Linked DNA regions of Xenopus tropicalis. The protein of the gene in region 4 purifies or fractionates together with the protein of the main gene of each other region. This does not show direct contact. Links are inferred from orthologs where the notes say so. Each region holds a gene or a part of one and is shown on either strand. Other genes may lie near its edges.

Region 1 (3,500 bases), on a different chromosome or scaffold from region 4:
TGTGTTGGTCGGTTGCGAGGATTGAACTTGAAAACTTCATGAGTGTCAGCACACTTGTGGATGGGACAACATTATGATAAGCTGGATGACAAATGTAAACAGTGCATCAGCCTATGTTGCCCCGCCCCCCACAGCACAACTTAAACCAGGAAGCAGCTCAACATTTAGCCATGAGACCAAACTAAGTTATTTAGTCGTGAGCTGGGGGACGGCAATGGGGCACATCCATTAGAAAAGTATATCATCCCTAGGATTTTTGTTGGCATAGTGACACGTTCCTGTTAAAATTGTAATGTTTCACTATCCTTTTAAGTCTAATGATTTTCAAATCGGACTGGGCAAATGTTTACTTGTTTATTTTATCCCCCAACAGGGCTATCCCCATCGCTGAAAGGATTTTCACAAGCTCTACCTCTTTAGTTCTGAAGCAGGCCCTCTGGTACCCAAGTGAGACCCAGGAACCTCATTTAATTTTGCTGACATCTGATAACATATTAAGGTTTATTATTATTTATTATTATACCATGCCAAAGGTTTTTTTCAGTTTTAGGGATACATATATGTACATGTATCCAAATTGCAGAGAATGCATAGTAATTCTTTTTCACAAACAGGTTCCTTTATCTTTTTCTTAAAGGAGAGAGAAATAATCACTGGAGGGTGCGAAAATGTTAGGCACCCCCTGCTCCCGGTGATTAAAATTACTTCTGTAAAACCTTTGCTCCTGTTTGATGAAAACTGCATGTCTGTTATACTTATTTCATTTAATAGTATTAAGCAGTATACATTTCCAAAAAAGTCCTATTTATTGTGTTTTTGTTTATAGGTATATATAGGGGAATGCTGCCCTTTTAAAGGGGTGTAATATTTATTTGTTTAAAAAAAAAAAACTCCTTGAATCTGATAAGAATAGAGTGCAATCTGGATTATCCAGTCATTTTAATGTAGATCAGTATCCAGCATTTTCTAATGTGTTAGGTATGCATATCTTTTTTTTTTTTTTTTTTTTCATGTTTGTATTGCCATTTACAATATATATATATATATATATATATATATATATATATATATATATATATATATATTTTTTTTAGATTATATAATCTTCACGATCCACTGACACCTGAAAAAGTTATCTCCCTCTCCAGTGCTGAAGAGGAAACCACACTGCCCCATAATGGGTATGCTTAGTAACACTGTTTTGGCTTTGTCCAAATTGAAGTACTATGCCTAAATTTCTGGGTCTTTTTCTATATATATGCCGGTTTTGTGGGATTAATTTTAAGTTATTAGGAAAATTGGTTTAATCTTCTCCTATCCATAGTCCCCCACGATAGAAGGCTGTATTGTATGTTCTACAGGAAAATTTATTTTTTGCTACCATGGCAAGCAAAATGAAATAGAGAATCTAGCTTTAGCTGCATGAACTTAAATACATAATACTAAGAAGTTGGGGAAAGTGTGTATATGTTGCTGGGGTGATAAACTACCTAGACATGTATGCCTTTTGAACATGCTTTTACCTACTTACCAAGCTTCTCGGCTATCATGCCTGCAATGCCTCATTTAAAAGTAAGTGTTGTAATTGTAACTCAGTCTTGTAAAACTAGATGTAGGGTCTTCTGGAGATTTTTGTATTAAGATCATTTTATTATTAAATATGATTTATCCTCTGTAGAGAGTCTTGATTCCATCTTAACATTTAGGGGCAAATTTATCAAAATGTGAGTATAGACCTTAATACATAAAAACTCACCCAGGTTTTTATTCATTCCTATGGGATTTTTAGAAGTGTATCAATGGTTGAAAGTTATAATTCATTATTTGATAAATATGCTTCTAAAAATTCCATAGGAATGAACAGAACGTGGGGGGGGGGGGTTATGTATTAAAGGAGACATATTGTGTGAAAAAAAACAATAGTGTGTTAGAATAGAATGTGATAGAATGTGCTTTAAAAAGTAGTGTTTCAGTCTGATTTATTGAAAGGCTGTGCAGGGGGGCCAGCGGCACTCAGCACACTGCACTGTAGGATAGTAACTATTCAGCAGGTAGGCTGACCTGATGAAGTGAAATGAAGCCCGTCTTTGCTTGTTTGGCTGCAGGGCTGTGATTGGCTATCTCCATCCTACTGTGCTTTTGGCTTTTAAGGCACTCCCACCCCTCACTTGAAACACAGACAGGGACCTGAGAAGCTCCAATAAAGGGGCCATTTTTACAGGTAGTATTAATTTTACACCAAAGTGAAACAAGCACCATATATTGTTCATAATTGCCTACAATTATCCTATATGTCTCCTTTAAGCTCTAAGCTCACATTTTGATACATCTGTCTTTTTACTGTGGGCGTGGCTCCATGTAGATCAGGGATCCCCAACCTTTTATACCCGTGAGCCACATTCAAATGGAAAAAGTGTTGGGGAGCAACGCAAGCATGAAAAGGGTTCCTGGGGTAGCGGTAAGAGCTTTAATTGGCTACTTAATAGCCCCTATGTGGACTGGCGGCCTACAGGAGGCTCTTTTTGGCATTATACGTGGTTTTTATGCAATCAAAGATTGCCTCCTAACCAGAAATTCAAAAATGGGCACCTGTTTTGTCATGCCATGCTGACTTTCCATTCTTCTTTCATTGTGGCAAAAGCTGCCTACAGTAAAGCAATAGTGCAGTGTGCAACTATGGCATACGTCACACAGCTACAAAAGAGATGTCATGATCTTGGAGTGAACAAAAAGGCAGTGGCCAATAATTCAGCCATTTGTATCTTCTACATTCTCACCTGGGAGGTGATCCAAGTGCTGTGTGGGTGTAGTATAATTACTACTAAACTGTTCAGTGTGTTGTCGGACCTTCTCCAAGTCAGTTTAATGGCACTTTAAACAGCGTAAAAGTACGTTTTGTCAAAAAAGTATACCAGGAACCTTCACCAGAACTTAAATGCTTTGTGGTTCCTTTCAACCCCTATCCTGCTGTATTTTTTTTTTTTTTTTTTTTTTTTAATCTTTTCTTCAAGTTGTTCAAGATTCCTGTAAAATCTAAAAATAGAAGGGGTCAGCAAAGATTCTAATTGGTTTATTTTGATATTCACATGCTTTATCCTCTGAACTAGTATACTTAGTATCCACTGTAGCTGACTGTAGAGATGCTGATATATTATTGGAGGGGCTGTGTGACATGAACTGCAGCTTGTGATGTATAGGAGTGTAAAAAGATTTGTGTTTGATTGCAGGCGATCTTATAAAGCCTCCCTTGGTGAGACTGCAGTTGCTTGTGATTTCGGTCCACTTACACCCCTTCCAAAAGGTTTTGGACAATATAATAAGGAAGACACGGTGGCTTATCCTCTTTATATCTTATATGAAACTGGAGAAACCTACCTGATGTACATTGATCTTCAGAAGAGGTGGGACATGTTACTCTACAATAAAATGCAAAAATGGAAAATACAGTACATTAAAACTTTTATCTTAAGAAGCTTAAATGTATGTCTTTTTGATCTTAT
Region 2 (2,406 bases), on a different chromosome or scaffold from region 4:
GATTTCTATTTACTGGCGCTCTTTCATTGGCTCGCAATTAGTGATGAGTCAGCGTGTTCCGTTTGCTTGGCAAAAAAATTGCAGTTGGTCTTCATTTTCTATCTATATTTTTTTTTTTTTTTTTTTAGTTCAGCAGCTATCTGGTTGCCAGGGTTCAAGTTACCTTAGTAACCAGGGAGTGGTTTGGATGAGAGACTGGTATATAAATAGGGGAGGGGCTGGATAGAAAGATAAGTAATTACAAGTAACAACAATAAAACTGGAGCCTCACAGAGCAATAGGGTTTGGCTGCCGGGGTCAGTGACCCCCATTTGAAAGCTGCAAAGAGGCAGAAGAAGGCGCAAAACATTCAAAAACAATGACAAATAATGAAGACCAATTGAAAAGTTGCTGAGAATAGGTCACTATAACATACTAAAAGTTAGTTTAAAGTGTACTACCCCTTTAACCCTCGTGCCCTTAGTATATTTAAATTTTTTTTAAGGGTCAGAGCATTCTGGGAATTGTAGTTTGGATGTTTGGGAATTACCTTTACCAACCAATGGGGGCTGATGTTGTTCCCCGTGTGCTTAGATGCCGTTATCAATGAGAACTACCGGTACCTGCGGGGGTTCCTGGGGGAGCTGGCCAGGCCCGAGCACTGCAAGCACATCCAGGACTGGGAGACTGCGGGGAAGGTCTATCTGGATTATATCAGTGTCATTGAGATGCTCAACCAGATCCGCCAGGTAACAGCGCTCTCATTGGTGGGACGCTCTGTATTAACCCATGCCGGCACAGACTAACTCTCTCCCCTGCTCATAGGACGAGTGCTCCGGCGGCGAGTTGGAGAAGTTACACACCAAAGTCATGTCTCTGTGTAAATGGGTCGAGCTGATCCAGTGCTACAGTGCCAAAGGCCGATTGGCCCAGTCGGGTAAGAACTTCCACTAACTGCCCCGGCGCTACCACCCCTCCCCGTGTGGCCATGATGGTTCTTTCCAACTCTCTCAGGAGCAGCGAATGGGCGCTTTGTCTACTGTTTTTCACTGCAGGCACAAGTTGCCCTTTAAATGCCAACTAATAGGGCTAAATTCCACAGCTAACTATGTTCCTGATCCGCCCCTTTATGCCCAGGACACACCCATGATTTTAAAGGAACAGTAACACCAGAAAGTGTTTTACAGTAATGAAAATATAAAGTACTGTAGGGATATTAGCAGTCACTGAGGGTCCAAGGCTGCAGGCTGAGTTATACAGGGAACTCTGAATATCACTCATGTATTATAAGGGATAATGTACCCCCTACTGTAACTGATAAGGATATTAGCAGTCACTGAGGGGTTCTGTGCCCCCCATATAAAGGCACAAGGCTGCAGGCTGAGTTATACAGGGAACTCTGAGTATCACTCATGTATTATAAGGGATAATGTACCCCCTACTGTAAATGATAAGGATATTAGCAGTCACTGAGGGGTTCTGTGCCCCCCCATATAAAGGCACAAGGCTGCAGGCTGAGTTATACAGGGAACTCTGAGTATCACTCATGTATTATAAGGGATAATGTACCCCCTACTGTAAATGATAAGGATATTAGCAGTCACTGAGGGGTTCTGTGCCCCCCATATAAAGGCACAAGGCTGCAGGCTGAGTTATACAGGGAACTCTGAGTATCACTCATGTATTATAAGGGATACTGTACCCCCTACTGTAAATGATAAGGATATTAGCAGTCACTGAGGGGTTCTGTGCCCCCCCATATAAAGGCACAAGGCTGCAGGCTGAGTTATACAGGGAACTCTGAGTATCACTCATGTATTATAAGGGATACTGTACCCCCTACTGTAAATGATAAGGATATTAGCAGTCACTGAGGGGTTCTGTGCCCCCCATATAAAGGCACAAGGCTGCAGGCCGAGTGCTTTTATACAGATCATGTAAAATATAAGGATATTAGAAGACACCTCACTTTATTATAATATATACAAGTTTCAGTGAGCCATGTGACAAAAATGACATCACTAAGCTCCAATTATAACTGATGACATCACTAAGCACTGTTTATAAGGATAGAATTCAGTTTGGTCCCATAGGGAAATGACCCGACTATATTATGAATTAATTACTTTGTAACTTTCACTTTTGTGGTTACTGTTCCTTTAAGTAAATGATTCACTTAATGAACGATTACACTTTTTTCTCAGAAATGGCGAAACGCGTTGCCAACATCCTTCGAGTGGTGCTGAGCCTGCAGCAGCCCCCGGAATCCATGTCGGACTCCTCCTCTGAGCCCCGCGTGCCTTTGAGACTGCTGGCTCCGCACATCGGGCGCCTCCCTATGCCGGAAGACTACGCCCTGGAGGAGCTGCGAGGCCTCACGCAGTCGTATCTAAGGGAACTGATCTGCGGCAGCTAATGATCCCGCCT
Region 3 (3,500 bases), about 26 Mb from region 4:
TGAAGTCCAGGCGTCCTATAACTGTAATGATCCAGGCCTTAAAATAGCTCCCCATTTTGGTTCTTGTTCGGCCATCTTTTTGTGTCAGTGACACTGCACATGCTCAGTGTGCTCTGGGCTGCTGGTGAGTAGCTAAGCTTCCGACAGCAGCCAAGATTGTGTGCTATGAGTTAGCAGAAATGAAAATGGGATGCTATTGCAGGCATGTTTTTTTTGGAGGAAGAGCCCTTTACTGCTAGAGGCCAGTGGTGGCTGAGTTGGACTGGCCCACTGGGATACTGGACCCTGTGTCGCCCTGCCACCTACTCGCAAGCAAGCGATCCCAGCCAGCACGACTCTGCTGCCATGTGTTCCACTATGGAATGCACAGTAAAAAGTGGAACAGGAACAGCGGTTTCTGGGTGGTGGGCCCTTGAGTTAGGTTCCGAGTGGATCATTGGTCCCCCAGTCCGACTAAACTATTCCAACAGTGACTTCTGAAACAGGGCTTGCAGTGTCCCTGAAGCAGATGAATGCTTATAACTTGTAACTATAAGAAAAAAAAACATCTTCATTCTCTCACTTCCATTTTTGTGTTCACAGCAGTGGTTTCAGTTTCAACAGTGTATCTTCTGCTCCTGTTACAACCTCTGCCATGGGAGGCAGCTCTGCAGGTAACTCACCCTGGAAAATATATATATTACTGTTCTTGTTCTGCTTGAACTACTATCATGGTGATATGATGGACTGCAATTTTCTTTCCTTTTTCAGGTTCTGTTACCGCTGCAAGGGATTCCAACCAACCATCCTCCTTTGTGTTTGGAGGTACCAGCAAGTCTTTATTTGGTCCTGGGGCAGAAGGATCGTTTTCTTTTGGATCAGTTAAAACTGCTTCCTCCACCTCCAGTACTTCCACCGTGGAATCCACATTGGGCAAACCTAGTGTTGTTACAGGCGTGTCATCCTCATCCACCGTTACTAGCACTGCTGCAGCCATCGGCAAACCCGGGGATGGCCTATTTCAAGGGTTTTCAGGTGGAGAGACTTTAGGAAGCTTCTCAGGCCTGCGTGTTGGTCAGGCTGATGAGGCGTCCAAGGCAGAAGTTGCCAAAGCGCCCCCTGCTGCACAACCAGTCAAGTTGCCCAGTAACGCTGGTTTGTTTAGTTTTAGTGGAGCTCCGCAGCCAGCGAAGGCTGGAGAAGCACCATCCTCAACCGGCAGCACCTCTGGTTCTTTATTTGGAAATGCGCAGTTAACAAGTACAGGATCTGCAGCAAGTGCATTCACCCAAAGTGGCAACAAGCCAGCCTTCTCTTTTGGGCTGCCACAGAGCACTGCCGCTTCAACGGGAGCTACCTCTGCAGTTCCGGCCTCGTTCCAAAGCCTCCTGGTTTCCACAGCTCCAGCCCCAGCAACAACAATTCCTTCAGCTCCTGTCAACAGCGGACTGGATGTTAAGCAGCCAATAAAACCTGTGTCTGAACCTGCAGATTCATCCACTTCCCAGCAACAAGCACTGACCAGTCAGTCAGTTGCCGAACAGGTTGCCACAGTGACTCCTGCAGCAACAACTGCCACTGTTTTGCCCCCACCTGTACCAACTCTTGCAATTCCTCCCACAGCTGATGCAAAGGTAGAAGGAGCGGCGGTTCCCCCTCTCTCTACCTCGGTCATTTCAGGTCAGAATGTAGCTTTCACATCCACAGTGGTTGCATCTCAAACCCCTTCAGCAAGTACCCCGGCTGTAGGCCTTTCCTCCCAGGTGCCAGTGCTGGTTACAAGTGCACCCCCCGTTGCTGCTGCTGCTCCCGCTGCAGAAAACACACAGACTGTATCTCTACCAGTACAGCCAACTGCTGCAAGTTCTGCGTTTCCTCAATCAACTGCAAGTGCAGCGTCCACTCCAGCAGCGGTGTCCACCCCAGTATTCGGCCAAGCCGTAGCTTCTGGTTCAACTCCCTCTCCTTTTGCTCAGCCGACCAGCAGTTCCGTTAGTACAACAGCCAGTACAGGATTTGGCACATCTACATTTGGTACGACAGGTGGGAGCGGAGGCTTTGGACAGCCCTCCTTTGGCCAAGCTCCTTCATTGTGGAAAGGTCCTCCCAACTCCCAAAATACTTTTCCTTTTGCACAGCCTGCTTTTGGGGCCCAGCCGGCTTTTGGGCAACCACCAGCATCAACAGCTACATCTAGCGCCGGCAGCCTTTTTGGCAGTGCTGCAAGCACAAGCAGTGCTAGTTCCTTCTCTTTTGGGCAACCTTCCAATACTAGCGGCACATCCACTTCAGGAGGACTCTTCGGACAAAGCAGTACTCCAGTCTTTGGGCAGAGTGCCACATTCCCCCAAGCTGCCCCTGTGTTTGGAAGTGCCAGCTCCTCTACAACCACCACCTCATCTTCTGTGTTTGGTTTTGGCCAACCAGCAGGTAAGGGTGTGTCACCAACCATCCCTTTTTTTGCTATAAATGCCTTCAAATATATGTACCAGTCAATAATGGTTTCTGCTTTTGTAGGATTTGCTTCCGGCTCTTCTGGTTCCTTGTTCAGTCAGTCTCAGAGTGGAAACACCAGTGTCTTTGGACAGGTAAGGATTTGTGTGTTTATCGTAACCTACACACGTACCATGCAAACTGAGAAAACACTGTTTTCTCTCACATCTCGTTGGGTGGGGACAGGAACAATGGGGTATAGCTTGTATGACTTGGAGGCAGGACACTAGAGGAGAAGAAGCACCTCCATCTTAGTTATACCCCCAAGCTCAGCTGCACATGGACCAGTTTTTCTAGTGTCCTCAGGAGGTTAAGATCTCGTCAATCAATCATCATTGTGGAAGTTCCAGACTTATCTGGACACCAGAGGATGTTCCTATACTGCCTATCCTGGGTAGACTGTTGTTCTATGGCTTCCCCCTATGTGGGATGAGTTTAGGCACCACTTTTCCCTTAGTTTTCTATGCTTTCTGCCTACTTACAGCAACTTTCACAATGCCCCATGTACTGTTAGCTTCAGAGCTGATGCCACAAGAGGATAAATTCACAGTAAACCCCAATGTTTAATTGCTTTCTGTGCTTGGGGTCTATAATATAAAGGGCCTTGCAATACACATGTGCTTCCCATTCAAGCTCCTTAAGGGTAAAGACACACTGAGCTACTAGTAGCAGCTACTTTTTCATGGCTACTGAGCTACAGAAAATCCCCTGCCATAGACAATACTGAGAATTGCCTCTGCTAAAACACACGTATAGACAATTATTAGTAAATGATCAGCATTGTCTATTTTAGTAGCTATGACAAGTAGCTGCTACTGGAAGCTCTGTGTATCTTCACCTTAATACCAATGTGAATGGTTCACAACAGTAGCTTCTGTTGTACCAGGACAGGAAAGGGGTGGCCCATTTGAGTACTAGACCAGCAGTAAATGATTATGATTTAAAAGTTCATGGGACCGGGGTGGCCAAATTAAAGTACAGGAATGAGATGGGGGGGACCTGCCCTAGTTCAGTTTGGTTTTCCTTTC
Region 4 (3,500 bases):
TTTTCTGTATATTTCATAGTAACATAGTAAGTTAGATTGAAAAAAAGATGTATGTCCATCACGTTCAATCATCTTCCTCACAGCAGGCACAAGAACAAGTATGTGAACAGATTGAAAAAGCAATGTTTAAAGTAATGTAAAATCCACAAACAAAAACAATTCAATAGAAAGTAAAATCTTGTTTTTGCTGTGTGTATTTTCATTTTCTGTCTGGCTGTGTAGAAATATATGGTGATTAAACAGGTACACCTGCATGCTAAGCTTGCTCTTTGGAAGCTATTGGGTCTGTTTCACCCTCTCTACTCTTCTATCAGGTTGGATCAGGAACTGGACTTCATCTTGTCACAGCAAAAAGAACTGGAGGACCTTCTGACTCCTCTGGAGGAATCTGTGAAAGAGCAGAGCGGAACCATTTACCTCCAGCATGCAGATGAAGAGAGAGAGAAAACGTGAGCCAGTATTATAATGTAATAACTAAGAAGTATAAGATACAAGGAGATCTGGGTTTGTGATTATACTCAAGTAGGCTTTGGTTATGAGAAAGGGAAGGCATGGTTAGGGCCAAATAATTGTGAATATCTTCCTGAAATAAGAATAATACATATTCAGAATGTTTCCCTCAAGAATAAAAATTGCATATCATTCATGTTACCCTTTACTACTCACTCCATGCAGGGTTGTGTCATTGAGTTGGTTATTTATAAATACACTTTGGTCTAATATATTGTTTAAGCAAAGGAAGGACACCCCAATTTATTTCACCTAACTGTCGGTTCTGCATGAAATCATATATATATATATATATATGAACCTGGAGTGTGCTGCCAACGTTTAAATCCTCTGCATGAAGAAAGGCTGCTCAGAGGGGGATAGTGAAGTGTAGCTTAATCATTTTAAAACAAGTTCTCGGTTCTGAAATAATGTTTGTGTATGTGATGTGCCTTAGGTAAGACCTTTTTGATGAAATTATGCTTTTACATTCCTGTTATATACTCGAGGAAGGGATAGGAAGTTCTGAAAAAAATGAATATTAACCGAAAAATAATGGTTTGCATAATGAAATAAAAAAAATAATTGTATGTAACTTTCCAGTACAGGTATGGGATCTGTTATCCGGAAACCCATAAGCCAGAAAGCTCTGAATTACAGGAACGCCATCTGTTACCAACATTATTAGCAAATCTAATTTTTAAAATTGATTTTCTTTTTCTCTGTAATAATAAAACAGTACCTTGTATTTGATCCCAACTTAGATATAATTAATTGGAGGCAAAGCAATCCTAATGGTTTTAATGTTTAAATAATTTTTAAATAGACTTAAGGTATGGAGATGCCTTATCCGGAAAGCCCTAGGTCCCAAGCATTTTAGATAATGGGTACCATACCTGTATAACCTGTATAAATTCTTTAAATTCACTTGCAGCATAAATCAGAACACTAGCTGTAAATTAACTCTGTATTCTTTAGATTTTGTTCACTTTTTCTATAGGTATTTTTTTTTTATGCTGTGCAGTCACAGAATTCACATCATCAGTACTGATGTTCTGTGAAACTAGATATATTTAGTGTGTTTTCTGTTTTTTATTCTTTTTCTTTTTGTCAAGCTTTAGCAAGCAGGTACATTTTTACATTGCTGCACACATTTTGCTATCTTTGGGTTTATGTAACCTGTAGAGTAATCCTGAAATTACGAAACATTTGGTGTGTTTTCAGGTACAAGCTGGCAGAAAACATTGATGCCCAGCTGAAGCGCATGGCCCAGGATCTAAAGGAGGTTATAGAGCATCTGAACACATCAGCTGGGCCAGGGGATGCTGGAAACCCGGTTAGTACTCTTTCTTCTCTGGAAGAGATTTCATGTTTCTTATTTATCTCTTATTACATTTTCTTGGATCATACTTTATCACTCTAATCAAAGGGGTCCTCAAACTTCTTAAGCAAGGGGCCAGTTCATGGTCCCTCAGACTGTTGATCGGCCAGACCACCACCCCCCGACAAACTATGGCCGACTCCTGCATTCTCTCCCCTGCCAGGGGTGAGGACACAGTGGTGGCCGGGTAAATTAACCTGGGGGTCAGGATCCGGCCCGCGGGTCATAGTTTGAGAATCCCTGCTCTAATGCTTCTATCTTTTTACAGTGGTTACTCACATCTTTGCCAATTACTAACTCTGCATTGCTGGCTGCTTTTACTTTATAACTGTCAGGCCTCTCTTAGCATTATCACCTTTTAACTTTTGGAGTGTTCATTTGTATTTGTATTTCTTCAGCTCCAGCAGATATGCAAGATTCTCAATGCCCACATGGACTCTTTACAGTGGATTGATCAGAACAGTGGTGAGTTGAAGAATGAGGCTTTGCGCAAAGTTTGTATTGGAAACTAGCATACCATAAAATAATAGCATTTTTGTTTATTTTAAATCGGATCTGTTCTGTGCAGAATAGTAATGATGCTGTTCTGGGTCAAAGCTGAAAATGCTGTGTGGAAACTGTTCTTCATAGATTGCTCAGGAAAGAAAGGCTGTAGCTTTCTTTTATATTGAATAGCGCTATGCTTTACACTATTTATCAAAAAGTAAAAGGAAGTAGAAGGACTACATCTGGCATTTAATAGAACACTTTGTTCTTTGAAACATGTAGTTTATTGGCTTGCTTTTATGCAATTTTGTGTGTGGGTATCCGTGCACAGCTTGTTTACAGTTGTACTTGAGGTGCATGGAATACTTGTTTGCTCTTGTGGAGAAATCTTTGTCACCCCTTGGGTCGCCTGCCATTGAAGTGAATTGCAGTCACCTATAACCAAGCATGGATTTTGTTTCATAGTTTTAATAAACAGGTATAAATAAGGAAGGACAATATTTATAGTTAAAATGGTCTGGACACTGAAGGTGGCAGCTTGTCGTCCCATTATCCCAGACGATAATCAGCCAGATCTTGATAGCATTGGTGCATTGATGTGGTCCTTATCCCTATGGCCCATATCATGTCAGTGTCATCCAATCGTTTGATCCTTGGGCCAGATGATCAAGGTGATTAAAGTGAGCTTATCAGCGAAAGATCCACTCATTTTGTGATCTTAAAGCATATGGGCAACTAAAAAAAAAAAAAGTAAATGGACCTTTGCATGAGCCACTTGCATTTCACAGACGGTACGGTGTTGGCCTAAGAATTTCACGACAGGCACAGCATGGCCCACAGAATTTCACTATTGGTGCAGTTAGTGCTGGGCGGTATGACCAAAAATTTATATCACGGTATTTTTTTTATTATATCGGTATCACGGTATTTGACGGTATTTTTTTTTCCCCATGCATGATTACGTGACCACCCCAAACACCCCCCCCCCAACCCCAAACACCCCCCCATCCAACCCCCCATCCAACCCCAAACACCCCCCCATCCCCTTCACATAAATAAACCTTACGGACCAGGCAGCCGCAGGCACCCCCGACAGCTCACAGAGCCTCCTGGCAATTTTTCTTACTATTTCCGGGTTGCGCGC

What was found.
Region 1: the proteins of nup62 (region 4) and nup88 purify together in Homo sapiens (co-immunoprecipitation; 4 studies listed by BioGRID and IntAct, counting the BioPlex papers as one, with this or other methods). This does not show direct contact. The link is inferred for Xenopus tropicalis from reciprocal best matches to the Homo sapiens genes NUP62 and NUP88.
Region 2: the proteins of nup62 (region 4) and nup98 purify together in Homo sapiens (affinity purification with western blotting; 3 studies listed by BioGRID and IntAct, with this or other methods). This does not show direct contact. The link is inferred for Xenopus tropicalis from reciprocal best matches to the Homo sapiens genes NUP62 and NUP98.
Region 3: the proteins of nup62 (region 4) and nup214 purify together in Homo sapiens (affinity purification with mass spectrometry; 5 studies listed by BioGRID and IntAct, with this or other methods). This does not show direct contact. The link is inferred for Xenopus tropicalis from reciprocal best matches to the Homo sapiens genes NUP62 and NUP214.

What each region holds. Positions count from the first base shown.
Region 1 is NC_030678.2:105,080,629-105,084,128, reverse strand, and holds part of nup88 (nuclear pore complex protein Nup88), read left to right. Parts: intron 1-373; coding exon 374-499; intron 500-1,094; coding exon 1,095-1,181; intron 1,182-3,227; coding exon 3,228-3,401; intron 3,402-3,500. UniProt on the Homo sapiens protein: Component of nuclear pore complex.
Region 2 is NC_030678.2:177,432,874-177,435,279, reverse strand, and holds part of nup98 (nuclear pore complex protein Nup98-Nup96), read left to right. Parts: intron 1-573; coding exon 574-728; intron 729-804; coding exon 805-916; intron 917-2,183; coding exon 2,184-2,395; 3' UTR 2,396-2,406. UniProt on the Homo sapiens protein: Plays a role in the nuclear pore complex (NPC) assembly and/or maintenance. NUP98 and NUP96 are involved in the bidirectional transport across the NPC. May anchor NUP153 and TPR to the NPC.
Region 3 is NC_030684.2:12,374,864-12,378,363, reverse strand, and holds part of nup214 (nuclear pore complex protein Nup214), read left to right. Parts: intron 1-582; coding exon 583-653; intron 654-750; coding exon 751-2,409; intron 2,410-2,496; coding exon 2,497-2,567; intron 2,568-3,500. UniProt on the Homo sapiens protein: Part of the nuclear pore complex. Has a critical role in nucleocytoplasmic transport.
Region 4 is NC_030684.2:38,701,771-38,705,270, forward strand, and holds part of nup62 (nucleoporin-62 C-terminal-like protein), read left to right. Parts: intron 1-314; coding exon 315-449; intron 450-1,713; coding exon 1,714-1,825; intron 1,826-2,268; coding exon 2,269-2,335; intron 2,336-3,500. UniProt on the Homo sapiens protein: Essential component of the nuclear pore complex. The N-terminal is probably involved in nucleocytoplasmic transport.